2 linked regions of the Saccharomyces cerevisiae S288C genome follow. The protein of the gene in region 1 purifies or fractionates together with the protein of each later gene. This does not show direct contact. Each region holds a gene or a part of one and is shown in the gene's direction. Other genes may lie near its edges.

Evidence for each region. The genes of interacting proteins can lie anywhere in the genome.
Region 2: the proteins of YIP3 (region 1) and RTN1 purify together in Saccharomyces cerevisiae (affinity purification with western blotting; 2 studies listed by BioGRID, with this or other methods). This does not show direct contact.

Annotation. Positions count from the first base shown.
Region 1 is NC_001146.8:537,015-548,382, forward strand, and holds YIP3 (Yip3p), read left to right. Parts: upstream 1-8,253; coding exon 8,254-8,277; intron 8,278-8,356; coding exon 8,357-8,863; downstream 8,864-11,368. Other genes in the region: COPII subunit SFB2, read right to left, coding at 1-897; alpha-1,2-mannosyltransferase ALG11, read left to right, coding at 1,159-2,805; SLM2 (phosphatidylinositol 4,5-bisphosphate-binding protein), read right to left, coding at 2,897-4,867; YNL046W (uncharacterized protein), read left to right, coding at 5,290-5,808; LAP2 (bifunctional aminopeptidase/epoxide hydrolase), read left to right, coding at 5,949-7,964; YNL042W-B (uncharacterized protein), read left to right, coding at 10,099-10,356; BOP3 (Bop3p), read left to right, coding at 11,086-11,368.
Region 2 is NC_001136.10:928,391-932,019, reverse strand, and holds RTN1 (Rtn1p), read left to right. Parts: upstream 1-1,662; coding exon 1,663-2,550; downstream 2,551-3,629. Other genes in the region: homoaconitate hydratase LYS4, read right to left, coding at 1-891; HEM1 (5-aminolevulinate synthase), read right to left, coding at 2,922-3,629.

The DNA of each region.
Region 1 (11,368 bases):
TTCATAATCATCATCCAAAGGAACGTAAAAATAATGAAGGCTATGATCAACACATATAATAGCAATTCTGGTCCTTCCATCATGATTTGGTAGAAATTCTATGTTTTCTAAAATGGTTCTGGCAGAAGTAGCCAATAAACCATTTTTGACAGCGTTTTGAGAAACATCTAAAAGAAATACATAAACAGATGGTGGGGGTTCCCTAACAGAATATTCTACGGGAGCCAAGTAATCCACGACAGAGTTTTTAATTTCGTTTCTTTCATATCTGTTGATTGGAGCGCCTTGTAAGTTCTGATCAAACCCAAATGGGACATCATTTTTGAAACGGCATATATTACATTGCCATTTTCTCCCTTGGTTAATGAAAACGACAAAAGGGTTCATATATGAACGACAACGGCGACAGCGGACAATGACTCCGTCAGTATTTAGCGGTACTTGGTTGTCTGAATCTTGCAAATGCAAATATGGTCTAATAACAATGGCAAATGGTAACTTCGTTTTCTTCAGCAGAGAGTTTGTTTTTGGCACCGCTTTCAAAGTAGATCTGACGTACTGGTATGGAACATTTGAATATTCGGATGGAGTCACAATGTTATCCTGAGAAATGGTGATTGGAAGAGGTGGTAAAGACAGGTCACGGATTGGCGGAGGTAATTCTGTAAACAAATCCACAGGGTATAGTTGATTGACCACTTTCCCAGAACCAGGAAACTGTTGATTTTGAGCTAGCTGTGTAAATGAGTTAGCCCTATTGTTCAATTGTAGGTTGCCCATTGCATAAGCTGTTTGGTCGATTTGTTGTTGAGACTGCTGTTGCTCTGCAACTATTGGCATACTTGCAATGTATGGCACCTGAGCTTGAGGGTACACCCTCTTCTTATGATGAGACATTATTCACTGCAGCTGTCGATCATTAATGGAAGAAGGTTCATCAACCAAGCACACTGCAAATGAAGGGTTAGATGAAGAGTTCGACGAAGACCCTTTTAACTGACGTATCATTCATCGTTGTCATCGCTACATCTATGTCCTTCGGGTAAGCTAAACAAAAAGTGAAAAGTTCAATAAATAATAAGATTGAGAGGTAAGTGAAGTGAAGATAGATGTTAGTATCCAAGTGTGACCAACATGTTCAGGTGATTGCAGGCGAAAATGGGCAGTGCTTGGACAAACTACAATTTTGAAGAGGTTAAGTCTCATTTTGGGTTCAAAAAATATGTTGTATCATCTTTAGTACTAGTGTATGGACTAATTAAGGTTCTCACGTGGATCTTCCGTCAATGGGTGTATTCCAGCTTGAATCCGTTCTCCAAAAAATCTTCATTACTGAACAGAGCAGTTGCCTCCTGTGGTGAGAAGAATGTGAAAGTTTTTGGTTTTTTTCATCCGTATTGTAATGCTGGTGGTGGTGGGGAAAAAGTGCTCTGGAAAGCTGTAGATATCACTTTGAGAAAAGATGCTAAGAACGTTATTGTCATTTATTCAGGGGATTTTGTGAATGGAGAGAATGTTACTCCGGAGAATATTCTAAATAATGTGAAAGCGAAGTTCGATTACGACTTGGATTCGGATAGAATATTTTTCATTTCATTGAAGCTAAGATACTTGGTGGATTCTTCAACATGGAAGCATTTCACGTTGATTGGACAAGCAATTGGATCAATGATTCTCGCATTTGAATCCATTATTCAGTGTCCACCTGATATATGGATTGATACAATGGGGTACCCTTTCAGCTATCCTATTATTGCTAGGTTTTTGAGGAGAATTCCTATCGTCACATATACGCATTATCCGATAATGTCAAAAGACATGTTAAATAAGCTGTTCAAAATGCCCAAGAAGGGTATCAAAGTTTACGGTAAAATATTATACTGGAAAGTTTTTATGTTAATTTATCAATCCATTGGTTCTAAAATTGATATTGTAATCACAAACTCAACATGGACAAATAACCACATAAAGCAAATTTGGCAATCCAATACGTGTAAAATTATATATCCTCCATGCTCTACTGAGAAATTAGTAGATTGGAAGCAAAAGTTTGGTACTGCAAAGGGTGAGAGATTAAATCAAGCAATTGTGTTGGCACAATTTCGTCCTGAGAAACGTCATAAGTTAATCATTGAGTCCTTTGCAACTTTCTTGAAAAATTTACCGGATTCTGTATCGCCAATTAAATTGATAATGGCGGGGTCCACTAGATCCAAGCAAGATGAAAATTATGTTAAAAGTTTACAAGACTGGTCAGAAAATGTATTAAAAATTCCTAAACATTTGATATCATTCGAAAAAAATCTGCCCTTCGATAAGATTGAAATATTACTAAACAAATCTACTTTCGGTGTTAATGCCATGTGGAATGAGCACTTTGGAATTGCAGTTGTAGAGTATATGGCTTCCGGTTTGATCCCCATAGTTCATGCCTCGGCGGGCCCATTGTTAGATATAGTTACTCCATGGGATGCCAACGGGAATATCGGAAAAGCTCCACCACAATGGGAGTTACAAAAGAAATATTTTGCAAAACTCGAAGATGATGGTGAAACTACTGGATTTTTCTTTAAAGAGCCGAGTGATCCTGATTATAACACAACCAAAGATCCTCTGAGATACCCTAATTTGTCCGACCTTTTCTTACAAATTACGAAACTGGACTATGACTGCCTAAGGGTGATGGGCGCAAGAAACCAGCAGTATTCATTGTATAAATTCTCTGATTTGAAGTTTGATAAAGATTGGGAAAACTTTGTACTGAATCCTATTTGTAAATTATTAGAAGAGGAGGAAAGGGGCTGATGTTTTTTGAAAATAGAAGCCTTGTTTATGAGAAAACTTATACATAATATTACATACAAACTAGAGCATTACTATATAATTAACTTACTTGTCACAGCTGATTGCTTTTTCTAGGGGAATCTACATTTTCAATGTAAAATTCAGGAACCCTATTCTGAATTTGTGAATCATTCGTTTCCGGTATCGATGACGTGGTGTTAGTGATTGTCAAATTGTCTAATTTTGGAATGGAATTCAAGGGAAAATTGCTACTACTCACATCATCGTATCTCGTATGTTGCTCATTAGTTACCTGGGGGGTCACGCTCTCCGTGGTGTTTTCATTACTCTTGGCTTTTTCTTTAGACAGTTTGGCAACTTTACTCACATATTTGCATTTGTCGTCATAGTTGGGCAAACTTGATAAGGCTTTGATATTTCCAAACCATTCTATCATATCGTCATAAGAGTCTACTTTGAATACCCAGTTGTGACCCCTATGTATTAGTCCGTTAGAATTCGTACGCAATATAAACTTGTTCTTGCCCTGCTCTGAGTTGGATTTCGTCTTTTTGGAATGCTCAGTGACAGTACATTCCACTAATGGTATTGACATTAACGGTGTGGAAAATTTATGCTTATCTGGTGTCTTAAATTCATGTAAAAAGCTTGGAGTGAGGACATAAAACCCACGTGAGTATGACTTTAAAAATTTTGATCTTTTCTCCAGAAACCCAGATTTAACTTCAAAAGTAAAAGGATCGTTTTGATTGCTATACGAGATCTCTTTAAACCTCCTCATGGGTAAATTTGGAGGCACAAAATTGGAAATATTCCTTAGAATGAAACTATCCCATTCAAGATTCGTGTTTTTGTTCAGTATCGTGGAATCTAATTTAGAGATAACTGAGTCAAATACAACTTGGGCTTCTTTGCCAAGAATTCTAGCGTAGCTGGTCAATCCGTTCTGTATTTCCATTACAATAACACTTTCTAACTGGGCCCCTGAATTCTGCAAGTTATCGAATGCCTCGTGCAAATAATTTTCTTCCACCAACTGTCTTTTGATTTGCTTTTCCAATTGCAATTTTATCAAAAATGGGTCACTCTTTGGTGTACCTAATTTACATTCTTTTAATGATTCATTAAAAAGCTTCATCAAGTGTTTAGTTTGCTGAAGCTCTTTGTTACAGGAATTTTTAAAATCAGATTGCAAAGCCTTAATTTCTTTAATCTTGACTAGTAAATCTCTTCTCAAATCCTCTAGCCTGGGTATAATTTCACTGGTCAACTCCTTGGAACTTTTCGATGCCAAAGAGGCCAGATTATCATGATACTTGGTCAGCATCGTGGGCAAATCTTGAACGGATCCACTTCCTAAGGGCAGAAAAAATTTCTGCATGGACTTGTCTTCATTAGAGACCGGTTGATATTGGTTTTCAATGCTGAAAAAGGGGAACTGCACAGCATGGGACAACCTCAGTTGCTGTCTAACTATTTCGTCCTGTATTGAGGCGGTCTCAGAGAGATATACCAAGATGGCACGAATAACATTTCTCCAGGCAGAAAACCTAGCAGACAAGACATCAGTGGGCTGCGCAGAAGTCGGTATCAGTATCGCCAGAGGGGACCTAGGATCGTTTTGGTTAGAATCATACTGCTTCTGGTGGCTATGTAAAGACATTTTTGGCAGCGTTAGCATGGAAGGGTCAGTGAAGGAACCAACATTATTGATATTGTTATTATTAATATTATTATTTTGTGATGATGGAATATTATTAGAGTTCAAAGAGTGCGTCGTATTGGTGCCAGCCGCAGCATCGACTATCGAATTTTGCCGATCGTGATCATATACGTTCAACTGAGCCGGGATAGTGGGATCGGAAGTCACAGCGTCGATAGGGTAAGGTATAGGATTGCGTTGCGCAAGCGACGAGGGTAGTGACAGGGGTATGTTCTGGCCTTTTTGTTGCTGCTGTTGATAGGCGGGATTAAAATGTTCTGACCTCATTCTGCCTTCCAGTTGTTGATATTGACTTCTGAGGTCAAGAGAGGCTCTTGCACTGTTCCGTTGGTAAGACATGGTGCAATGGACGGCTGGGTAAAGCGTATAACGCTCTCCTAAACCTTTGCTTGCGCGGTCATCTTCTCATGTAGTAGGTTGCATCGCCTTTTGATTAAAGAATGCGGCATGACCCGGAAAAAAGAGGCAGGTATTGGCTAATGACTACTACCATTATGAGTTTTTACCAGTATCAGCGCCATCATTAGGAGGATATATTAGCATTGGTGGACGTAAGAGCTCCTAAATATACAAGCATCGCCGTGATGTGTTATATATTGCAGCTTTATCTTGCTGGAGTGTCTACCGTATTTACTTCTACTTTTGGCATTTTTTTCGCCAATGCTGGCTCGAACAAGAAACTGCCTGCCATTTGAATTATTCATATATAAATACACTAATCATACGTGAGCATAGTGTGACAATTTCGGCGCAAGATATTAATGGAGCACGTATCAAAGAGGTCAATTGGGCAATTCTTTAAGAGGAAAACTTCAACTGTAGATGGAAGCAAATCACAGAAATGCGGAACCACTAACCAACTGCGGAAGCTGCTGCATAAAAGAAGGGTACAGAAGCAGGCAGTGCCGGTTGAATCCCAGTACAGAATTCCGGGTGATTTTAGGGATAATCAAAGCGTGAGAGTCAAAAACTCTATGTACAACAGCTCACCGTCAGTAACGCCATCTACGCATCATATCAATGAAAGGTATGTTCGCTATGACATCAACACAAGGCCTTTGGTTGTTGTGCTCGCGATCTCAATTGTATTTTTTGGCTGTCTCCTGGTCCTCAAGGACATCATCATCCAGTCATCAGAAAACATCCTGAGTGTTTCCAAATGGAAAATCATAGGGGCCTCCTTCATGGGTACGCCCTACACAGGTCTTCTCACGGGGCTCGTTGGCCCTCTCCTGTCACCATTTTCGGCTGTTTCGTCGTGGCTTTCATTCATCTTTTGACACAATGCGTCTTCAGTTTCCGGGGGCATTGCGTATGGAAAATCATGTCACTTTTTTTCTTCCACTTTTTCGTTTGACTTATATAAACGCACTTTAGTATAGTTTGCTTTATGTATTAGGTTATCTTGGTGTTCTAATTGATGTTCTTGCTTCCATTTGTCATTCGTCATTCCAGCTCTATTTACCTGCCCACGCTTCGATTTCGAGGTTTACTTACTGTAATCTCAAGAAACATACACATTTCCACCCCTCATAAAATGTTGCCTCTTTCAATTGAGCAGAGAAGACCTTCCCGCTCCCCCGAATACGATCAGTCTACTTTATCAAATTATAAGGACTTCGCAGTTCTTCACACCGATTTAAACCTGTCTGTTTCCTTCGAAAAGTCAGCCATTTCAGGGAGCGTTACATTCCAATTGAAAAAACTGCACGAAGGTAAAAATAAATCGGATGAATTACATCTGGATACATCCTATTTGGATGTCCAGGAGGTTCATATTGATGGTTCCAAGGCAGATTTTCAAATTGAGCAAAGAAAGGAGCCATTGGGCTCCAGGTTAGTCATCAATAACGCTTCTTGCAACGATAACTTTACCTTGAATATTCAATTTCGTACGACTGACAAGTGCACCGCTTTGCAATGGTTGAACAGCAAGCAAACCAAGGGCGGTAAACCGTACGTGTTTTCACAGTTGGAAGCTATTCATGCGAGGTCTTTGTTCCCCTGCTTTGATACTCCCTCTGTGAAGTCTACTTTCACTGCATCTATCGAGTCCCCACTACCAGTGGTTTTTTCAGGCATCAGGATTGAAGATACAAGCAAGGATACTAATATTTACAGATTTGAACAGAAAGTCCCTATCCCAGCCTACCTGATCGGTATTGCTTCCGGTGATTTGTCAAGCGCTCCAATTGGACCTCGTTCCACAGTTTACACTGAACCATTTCGTTTGAAAGATTGTCAATGGGAATTTGAAAACGATGTAGAGAAATTCATTCAAACTGCAGAGAAAATTATCTTTGAATACGAGTGGGGCACTTATGATATCTTAGTTAACGTCGATTCGTACCCTTACGGCGGTATGGAGTCTCCGAATATGACTTTTGCTACGCCCACCTTGATTGCACATGACAGATCCAACATTGATGTCATCGCCCATGAACTTGCTCACTCATGGTCTGGTAACTTAGTGACCAATTGTTCGTGGAATCATTTTTGGTTGAATGAAGGTTGGACCGTTTACTTAGAAAGAAGAATTATTGGTGCCATTCATGGCGAACCAACTAGACATTTCAGTGCTCTGATTGGTTGGAGCGATTTGCAGAATTCTATTGATTCTATGAAAGATCCTGAAAGATTTTCCACTTTGGTACAAAACTTGAACGATAACACTGACCCTGACGATGCCTTTTCCACTGTTCCGTACGAAAAGGGGTTCAACTTACTATTTCACTTGGAAACTATTTTGGGTGGTAAGGCTGAATTTGATCCATTTATTAGACACTATTTCAAGAAGTTTGCCAAAAAATCATTGGATACTTTCCAGTTTTTGGATACTTTGTATGAGTTCTATCCCGAAAAGAAAGAAATTTTGGATTCCGTTGACTGGGAAACTTGGCTGTATAAACCAGGTATGCCACCAAGGCCTCATTTTATTACGGCTTTGGCTGATAATGTTTATCAATTGGCTGACAAGTGGGTCGAAATGGCTCAACATTTGAAAACCACAGAGGATTTCCGGTCTGAATTTAACGCTATTGACATTAAGGATTTTAATTCAAATCAATTGGTTTTGTTCTTGGAAACTTTGACACAAAATGGCCATTCCAACAAGAAACCAAAAGATTTTGACTGGGCCAAGTTTCCCGTGGCATCTAGGGCACTGTTAGATATCTATCAAGATAACATTGTTAAATCACAGAACGCGGAAGTTGTTTTCAAGATGTTCAAATTTCAGATCTTTGCCAAGCTGCAAGAAGAATATAAGCATTTGGCCGATTGGTTGGGAACTGTAGGTAGAATGAAGTTTGTCCGTCCCGGTTACAGACTATTAAACTCTGTAGACCGTCGATTGGCACTTGCAACTTTCGACAAATTCAAGGACACGTATCATCCAATCTGTAAAGCTCTTGTGAAACAAGATTTAGGTCTTTGAAAAGGGACGTGTCGTAACATGAATACGTAAACAATTAAATATAACCTACTAATGAGCCTTCATTGCTACTTCTCTGGTTCTAATTAGTGGCGGAGTTCTGTGTCGTGCGATACGAATTTTGCACTTTTGTCACATGCAATCGAGGCAAAAAGAAAAAATAAATAATAACAACGAATATAAATACAAATCGAAAGAATTCAGATTGAATTCAATATTGCAGGGCTTTGAACACTGAGTTTGGAACTATCAGCCGTCAAATACGCATAAAATAACATCAAATACTCCAATAATGAATCAGTTAGGAGCTTTAGCCGTAAGTTCTAAATTGTAAACACATTTGCATCATTGAAAAACTATACTAACGCGTTAACCTTTTTTCTATATTTCTATAGCAAGTTTCACGTTTCACTCAAAACTTCTCCATGGAAAATATTAAGAGCGAGTTCCAATCCTTGCAATCTAAATTAGCAACCCTTCGCACCCCGCAAGAATTTTTCAATTTCAAGAAAATTTCCAAACCTCAAAACTTTGGGGAAGTTCAATCCAGAGTGGCGTATAACCTGAAGTACTTTTCCAGTAACTATGGTTTGATTATTGGTTGTTTGAGCATTTACACATTATTAACAAACTTGTTGCTACTCTTTGTTATTGTTCTAGTCGTAGCTGGTATTGTTGGTATAAACAAACTAAAGGGTGAGGAGCTCGTAACTCCATTTGGTTCTTTCAAGACCAACCAACTATACACCGGACTGGTTTGTGTTGCTGTGCCAATAGGTTTCTTAGCTTCGCCAATCTCAACTTTGCTATGGTTGATCGGTGCTTCTGCCGTCAGCGTTTTCGGACATGCATCATTGATGGAAAAACCCATCGAAACTGTATTTGATGAAGAAACTGTTTGAACACTCCTACAAGTGTTGGGAAAAGGAGTCATTCTTTTCTATTGTGTATTTTACTCTTCTTCAATATTTAGTTAATTCTTGTCTTTTATTCTCTTTCTCCGTCAACATTAGTATTTAATTGTATACAGACACCATTCATAATTGCAGTTAGCTTCTCTGTTCTTTCTCATTCCTAGGATTTACAATGCAGTCTTACCTTATTTGTTTATGTTTTTTTCGTTTATCAAGCGTGCAATCAATTACTGAAGATTCACGTGCCAAAACGTAAAAATAATAATAACATAACCCGAGAGAGGCAAGATTAGAATCAATTCATCTTTTCAAACAAATGGTTATATCGACTAAGCGAAGTGATTAGATGGTGTACGTCGCAGATATTCAACAGTGACGAATTATATGCGATTGTAAGATTGATTGGCAAATCGTATTCCATTACTACTATTAACAACTGATGGCATCTAGAAGGTAAAAAGGGTCAACGTAGATGAGGTAGAGTTTGAGCTTAGGGCCCTGCCGAGTTTTCATTAGAAGACCTCTACTACACTTCAAAATGAAATACCCCTGCATCACCAGATTCATCAACCTAAACGTACAAGACGTATGAAACACGTATGAAACAGTTGTTGCGAAAAAAACAAGATTAAGTATTTTCAAAGCCCCGGTTGCCTTGATGAACCTAAACGTATAAATAGTTGAGCAATCAGTTTAGCTCCGAAGATCTATGCTTCCACCCTTTAGTCAGATTTAGATCCTATATAGATTATATGGGATAAGTAACATTCCGTCAATCAAGCTGCTCTTCTGACAGGTATTAATATTGTTAAGACGGCTAGTATTGACTAACTTCATGACACAACCACTGTTGTATCTCAAAATGAGATATGTCAGTATGACAATACGTCACCCTGAACGTTCATAAAACACATATGAAACAACCTTATAACAAAACGAACAACATGAGACAAAACCCGACCTTCCCTAGCTGAACTACCCAAAGTATAAATGCCTGAACAATTAGTTTAGATCCGAGATTCCGCGCTTCCACCACTTAGTATGATTCATATTTTATATAATATATAAGATAAGTAACATTCCGTGAATTAATCTGATAAACCGTTTTGACAACTGGTTACTTCCCTAAGACTGTTTATATTAGGATTGTCAAGACACTCCGGTATTACTCGAGCCCGTAATACAACAACCACACGAAATAATCGGGCGTGTGGTCTAGTGGTATGATTCTCGCTTTGGGCGACTTCCTGCCTAAACAGGAAGACAAAGCATGCGAGAGGCCCTGGGTTCAATTCCCAGCTCGCCCCGTTATCTTTTTTCACCATCAGGGCGGAATTTTTTTGTTTAGCATCAATCAACCTAACCTCTCATGCTTCTCCAAGCTGAAAGAAGTAAACTCACTCTATGTACGTGTTGCAACATATATCTGCCAAAAGAATGAAAGTAGGTTCAGAACAAACAGATTGAAAGGAGACCAGTAAAACTATATGGGGGGGGTTGTTCTTCCCGCCTCCTTCTGGGATTATGAAGACGCGCTGATCTGCTATAGTTCAACGTCCTTTTCGCTTACTATTTCTGGTAAGAAATATAAGGAATTCTCGGATTAATTACTTTTCTCGAAAGGGGATTCCGAACACCTACCGGAAAAAAATAGCAGCCCTTAAGGGGAGAGTACGGCTCTTGGCATGACGGGAGGCAGGACAGCACTAAAGGCAGACTAGTCACTGAGCGCTCCAAGTTGGGTATGATAGTATCTTCAAGTTTTGGTCGAGTAGCTATTCCTCTTCTTCAAAGCCACTTACGCTTCGCCCAATAATGTCATGATTTACAAATAAACCTTCCTCTCCGAACCCTTAAAAGTAGGCAAATTGAGAAAATTTTTTGCTCGTCTTTTTTTCTCTCGTTTCGATTACCTTATTGGGAACTTCTCGAAGAACTCGGCGAAGAGGTCCAGAGGAAGATTACTGACTATCATCAAGCCTTGTTTCTTTTGGCCTCTTCAGTAAGCTGCAAATGCAGTATTGGCTTTTTTAAAAAAGAAAAAGAGAAGGAAAGCGGAAACTAGTCTTGTTGCTCTTCTAGTGCAGTTGTTGTTTGTTCATTTGTTTCTTAATAACAGTCAACGAGAAAACTTGCGCGTGCAGTAGGAAAATAAGTAGCAAATTACATTACATGGAAAACTTGCAACCATCTGTGAGCACAGGCGACCAATGAGTACTTTCAACAGTTACAGCCAGCCAAAGGAAAGCAATGATAATAGTCATAATAATGTCAACAAGAGCAAATCGCTGTTAGATATAATATTTGGTACTAATGTATCGGAATGGGCTTTTTCTGAGAATGCTTTAATGAAAGCTATGGATTTGAAAATAGAACAAGAAAAGACTAAGCAGCAATATTATAAACTTGAAAACTTGAATCGTTCGATAGAGTTGTTTAAGCTTGCTTCCAGTTCAGGTCTGCCCATAAATCAAATACATAAACTATTCAACA
Region 2 (3,629 bases), on another chromosome or scaffold:
CTTGGCATAATGTGCATCCTTGTCTGCTTTCGGAATCTTCGCCTTTTCTTCTAGTGCGCGGATAGTCTTTGGATTAATCCTTGGATGATTATTGGTGCCCAGCTTTTGCAAACGGTTTTTATACCAGTCGATCAAAGTTTTGTCCACGGGGAACAAACCAGAAAGAGCCCCCCACTCGGTGGTCATGTTAGCAATAGTGAGTCTGTGATCGATAGGCAATGCATTCAAAGAGTCACCCGTGAATTCAATGGCGTGATTTAGAACTTGATCATTGTTGAAAAGCCCACATAATGCGACAATGATATCTTTTCCGGAAACACCCTGAGGCAATTGACCTTTCAACTCAACCTGAGCCACTGGTGGGATCTGCCACCACGTCTGTCCCGTGGCCCATATGGCTGCAGCGTCTGTTCTCACTATTGGAGTGCCCAGCGACCCCAGACCACCGTAGGTGTTTGAATGCGAGTCAGATGCGACAGTCATGTTCAAGGGGAAAGCATAGCCCTCCTCAATCATAATTTGATGACCAATACCTCTACCGGCAGGGTAGTGGTCTATATGGTGTTTCTTAGCAAAATTTTCGATGTTCTTGTACTTGGTCAAATTTTTCTCTGATTTGTTCTGAATATCGTGGTCCAGAGTGGTCACAATCTGTGAAGGATTCTTGATCTTGGTAGCGCCAAGCCCCATGAATTTCAAAGCTACAGGCCACGAATTATCGTGGGACATACAGTGTGCCGGCTTGATCGATACATAGTCACCAGAATGCACAACTTTACCCTCGGGAAGGTTGACCGCATACGACTGAACAATTTTTTCAGTTAGGTTCTGACCTTTCAACCAGGCCCTAGAACTGTGGAACGAACGAGTAAATGTGGTTGATCGTAGCATCTTGAAGCGATACAATTTTGTTTCCTTGCAAGTTCTATTTTATTGAAAAAGTGATATTGTCTACTATAAGAGGCAGCGCAAAACTAGCTATTGCACACACAAACACACGAGGATTCTTTTGTATATATAAATACCTATGGGGATATATATATATATATATATATGTGCGTGTCTGTACGTGTGTGTGGACATGAGATTGTGTATACCTGTGTATGTTGGTGATATTTGCTGCCTCTGGTATAGACTCATCGATTACAAAATTTCAGTCATCTCGAGCAAAATCCCGGGGGAAAAAACAATAAAAATTTTTTTTTTCCAAATCGCTCCATTCTGCTCACTTGACACGAAATTGTTTATCACTTGATACGTGTACATTTTACCGGGTTTGCGGTAATTTCGCACGAACAAGCAGTGAAAAAAGTCATAGGAAAATTTTTCACCGTAGCAGCCAACGCAGTTGCGTTTTTTCCAGTTTTTCCAACACCAGAGGACAGCTTTGGCTATTCTTTTCGGTGTTTGGTGCTGTTGTATCGCTGGCTTGTGGTATCTTCTGTTTCCTATTTAAAGTTGGTCAGTGCCCCCTTTCCAGTGGGCTTCTCCCCTGTGTGGGCTGTTTCTCTTCTATGGCACTTCAACTTCGCATTTTTCAAATTTTTATTCAACAATTCCCTTTTCTTGATCTCTTTCTTTTCAACTCTCAAGCCAAATATTTAATTGTTTCTTCCTACCCGCAAGCGTATATATATATAATATATATTCACACACGCAAATATGTCCGCCTCAGCTCAACATAGCCAAGCCCAACAACAACAACAACAAAAAAGCTGTAATTGCGATTTGCTATTATGGAGGAACCCTGTTCAAACCGGTAAATATTTCGGTGGGTCTCTGTTAGCCTTGTTAATTTTGAAAAAAGTTAACTTGATCACTTTCTTTTTGAAGGTTGCCTACACTATCTTATTCACAACAGGATCTATTGAATTCGTATCCAAGCTCTTTTTGGGACAAGGTTTAATCACCAAGTATGGTCCTAAAGAATGTCCAAATATCGCCGGCTTTATTAAGCCTCATATCGATGAAGCTTTGAAACAGCTACCAGTCTTCCAAGCCCACATAAGAAAGACTGTATTCGCTCAAGTCCCTAAGCACACTTTCAAGACCGCTGTTGCCTTATTTCTACTACACAAATTCTTCTCCTGGTTCTCTATCTGGACCATCGTCTTTGTTGCTGACATTTTTACCTTCACTTTGCCAGTTATCTACCATTCCTACAAGCATGAAATTGATGCTACTGTCGCTCAAGGTGTAGAAATTTCTAAGCAAAAGACCCAAGAGTTTTCTCAAATGGCTTGCGAAAAGACAAAACCATACTTGGACAAGGTTGAATCTAAATTGGGCCCAATTTCCAACTTGGTCAAATCTAAGACTGCTCCTGTGTCTTCTACTGCCGGTCCTCAAACCGCCAGCACTTCTAAGTTGGCCGCTGATGTTCCATTGGAACCAGAGTCTAAGGCTTACACATCTTCAGCTCAAGTTATGCCAGAAGTTCCACAACACGAACCTTCCACTACCCAAGAATTTAACGTCGATGAATTGTCTAATGAATTGAAGAAAAGTACAAAAAACTTGCAAAATGAATTGGAAAAAAACAACGCTTGAGTGCTTTTTTTTTTTCATTTCAAACAAGAATAGCTAACTTTTGTCTCTTTATTTACCACTACATATTACATTAGCCTATATATACTCATACGTTTCTCTCTCTTTACTTTCTGTACCCCCGAGGAAAAATACATAAATTATTTTTGAACTTTCCCTGCTTTTTTACCAACATTGCTACAGTTTAACCATTGCAGTTAAAAGTGCTCATCGTGTTAGTTAAATAAATAAATAATTAAGAGAAATAATAATAAAGTATCATACATAAATAAGAATAAAAAAAAAAAATGAAAAAAAAAAACTGTTAATTTTTTTTTTTACTGATTTACAAATTCCTTGTACCTCTATCTCAGCCCATGCATATATTGGTTGTTTTACTGCTTGATACCACTAGAAACCTCTAGTTGTTTAACGATGGGGTCTCTAACATTAGGGTTCAAGTCGTCATTAGTTAAAGATAGTTGGCTTGATGTCCATAAGTTAGACTCTTCCACAAATCCGCTCTCTCCAACACCCAATAAGCCACCTTGGCTTTCCCAGTCTCTGACACGTGGTAACTGTAGCTCATTGAACACATCATCAACTGCATTGATTAAGATGTCAGATAAATCGTTGGTGTGACCTGGCGTTGGGGTAATTCTCAATCTTTCGGTACCGCGAGCAACCGTAGGGAAGTTGATAGCTTGTACGTAGATTTGATGCTTATTGATTAAGATGTCAGAAGCTTGCTTAGCCAAATCAGCATTACCAATCAACACTGGGACGATATGAGAAGGATTTGGAATAACTGGAATGCCCAACTCATGGAAAGCTTTCTTTACGTACATGGTATGTTTCTGTTGCGAGGTTCTTAGGTCGATGTGGCAACGTTGGTATCTAATTGCTGCGGTAGCGCCTGCCATAACTGAAGGTGGTAAAGTCGTGGTGAAAATGAAACCAGGTGCAAACGATCTGAACCAATCGATCAATTTCCTAGAGGCTGCGACGTAGCCACCTACGCTACCGAAAGACTTACCTAAAGTGCCGGTGATCATGTCGACACGGTCCATCACAGTCTTCGCGCCGCCCTTGTCATTGGTCTT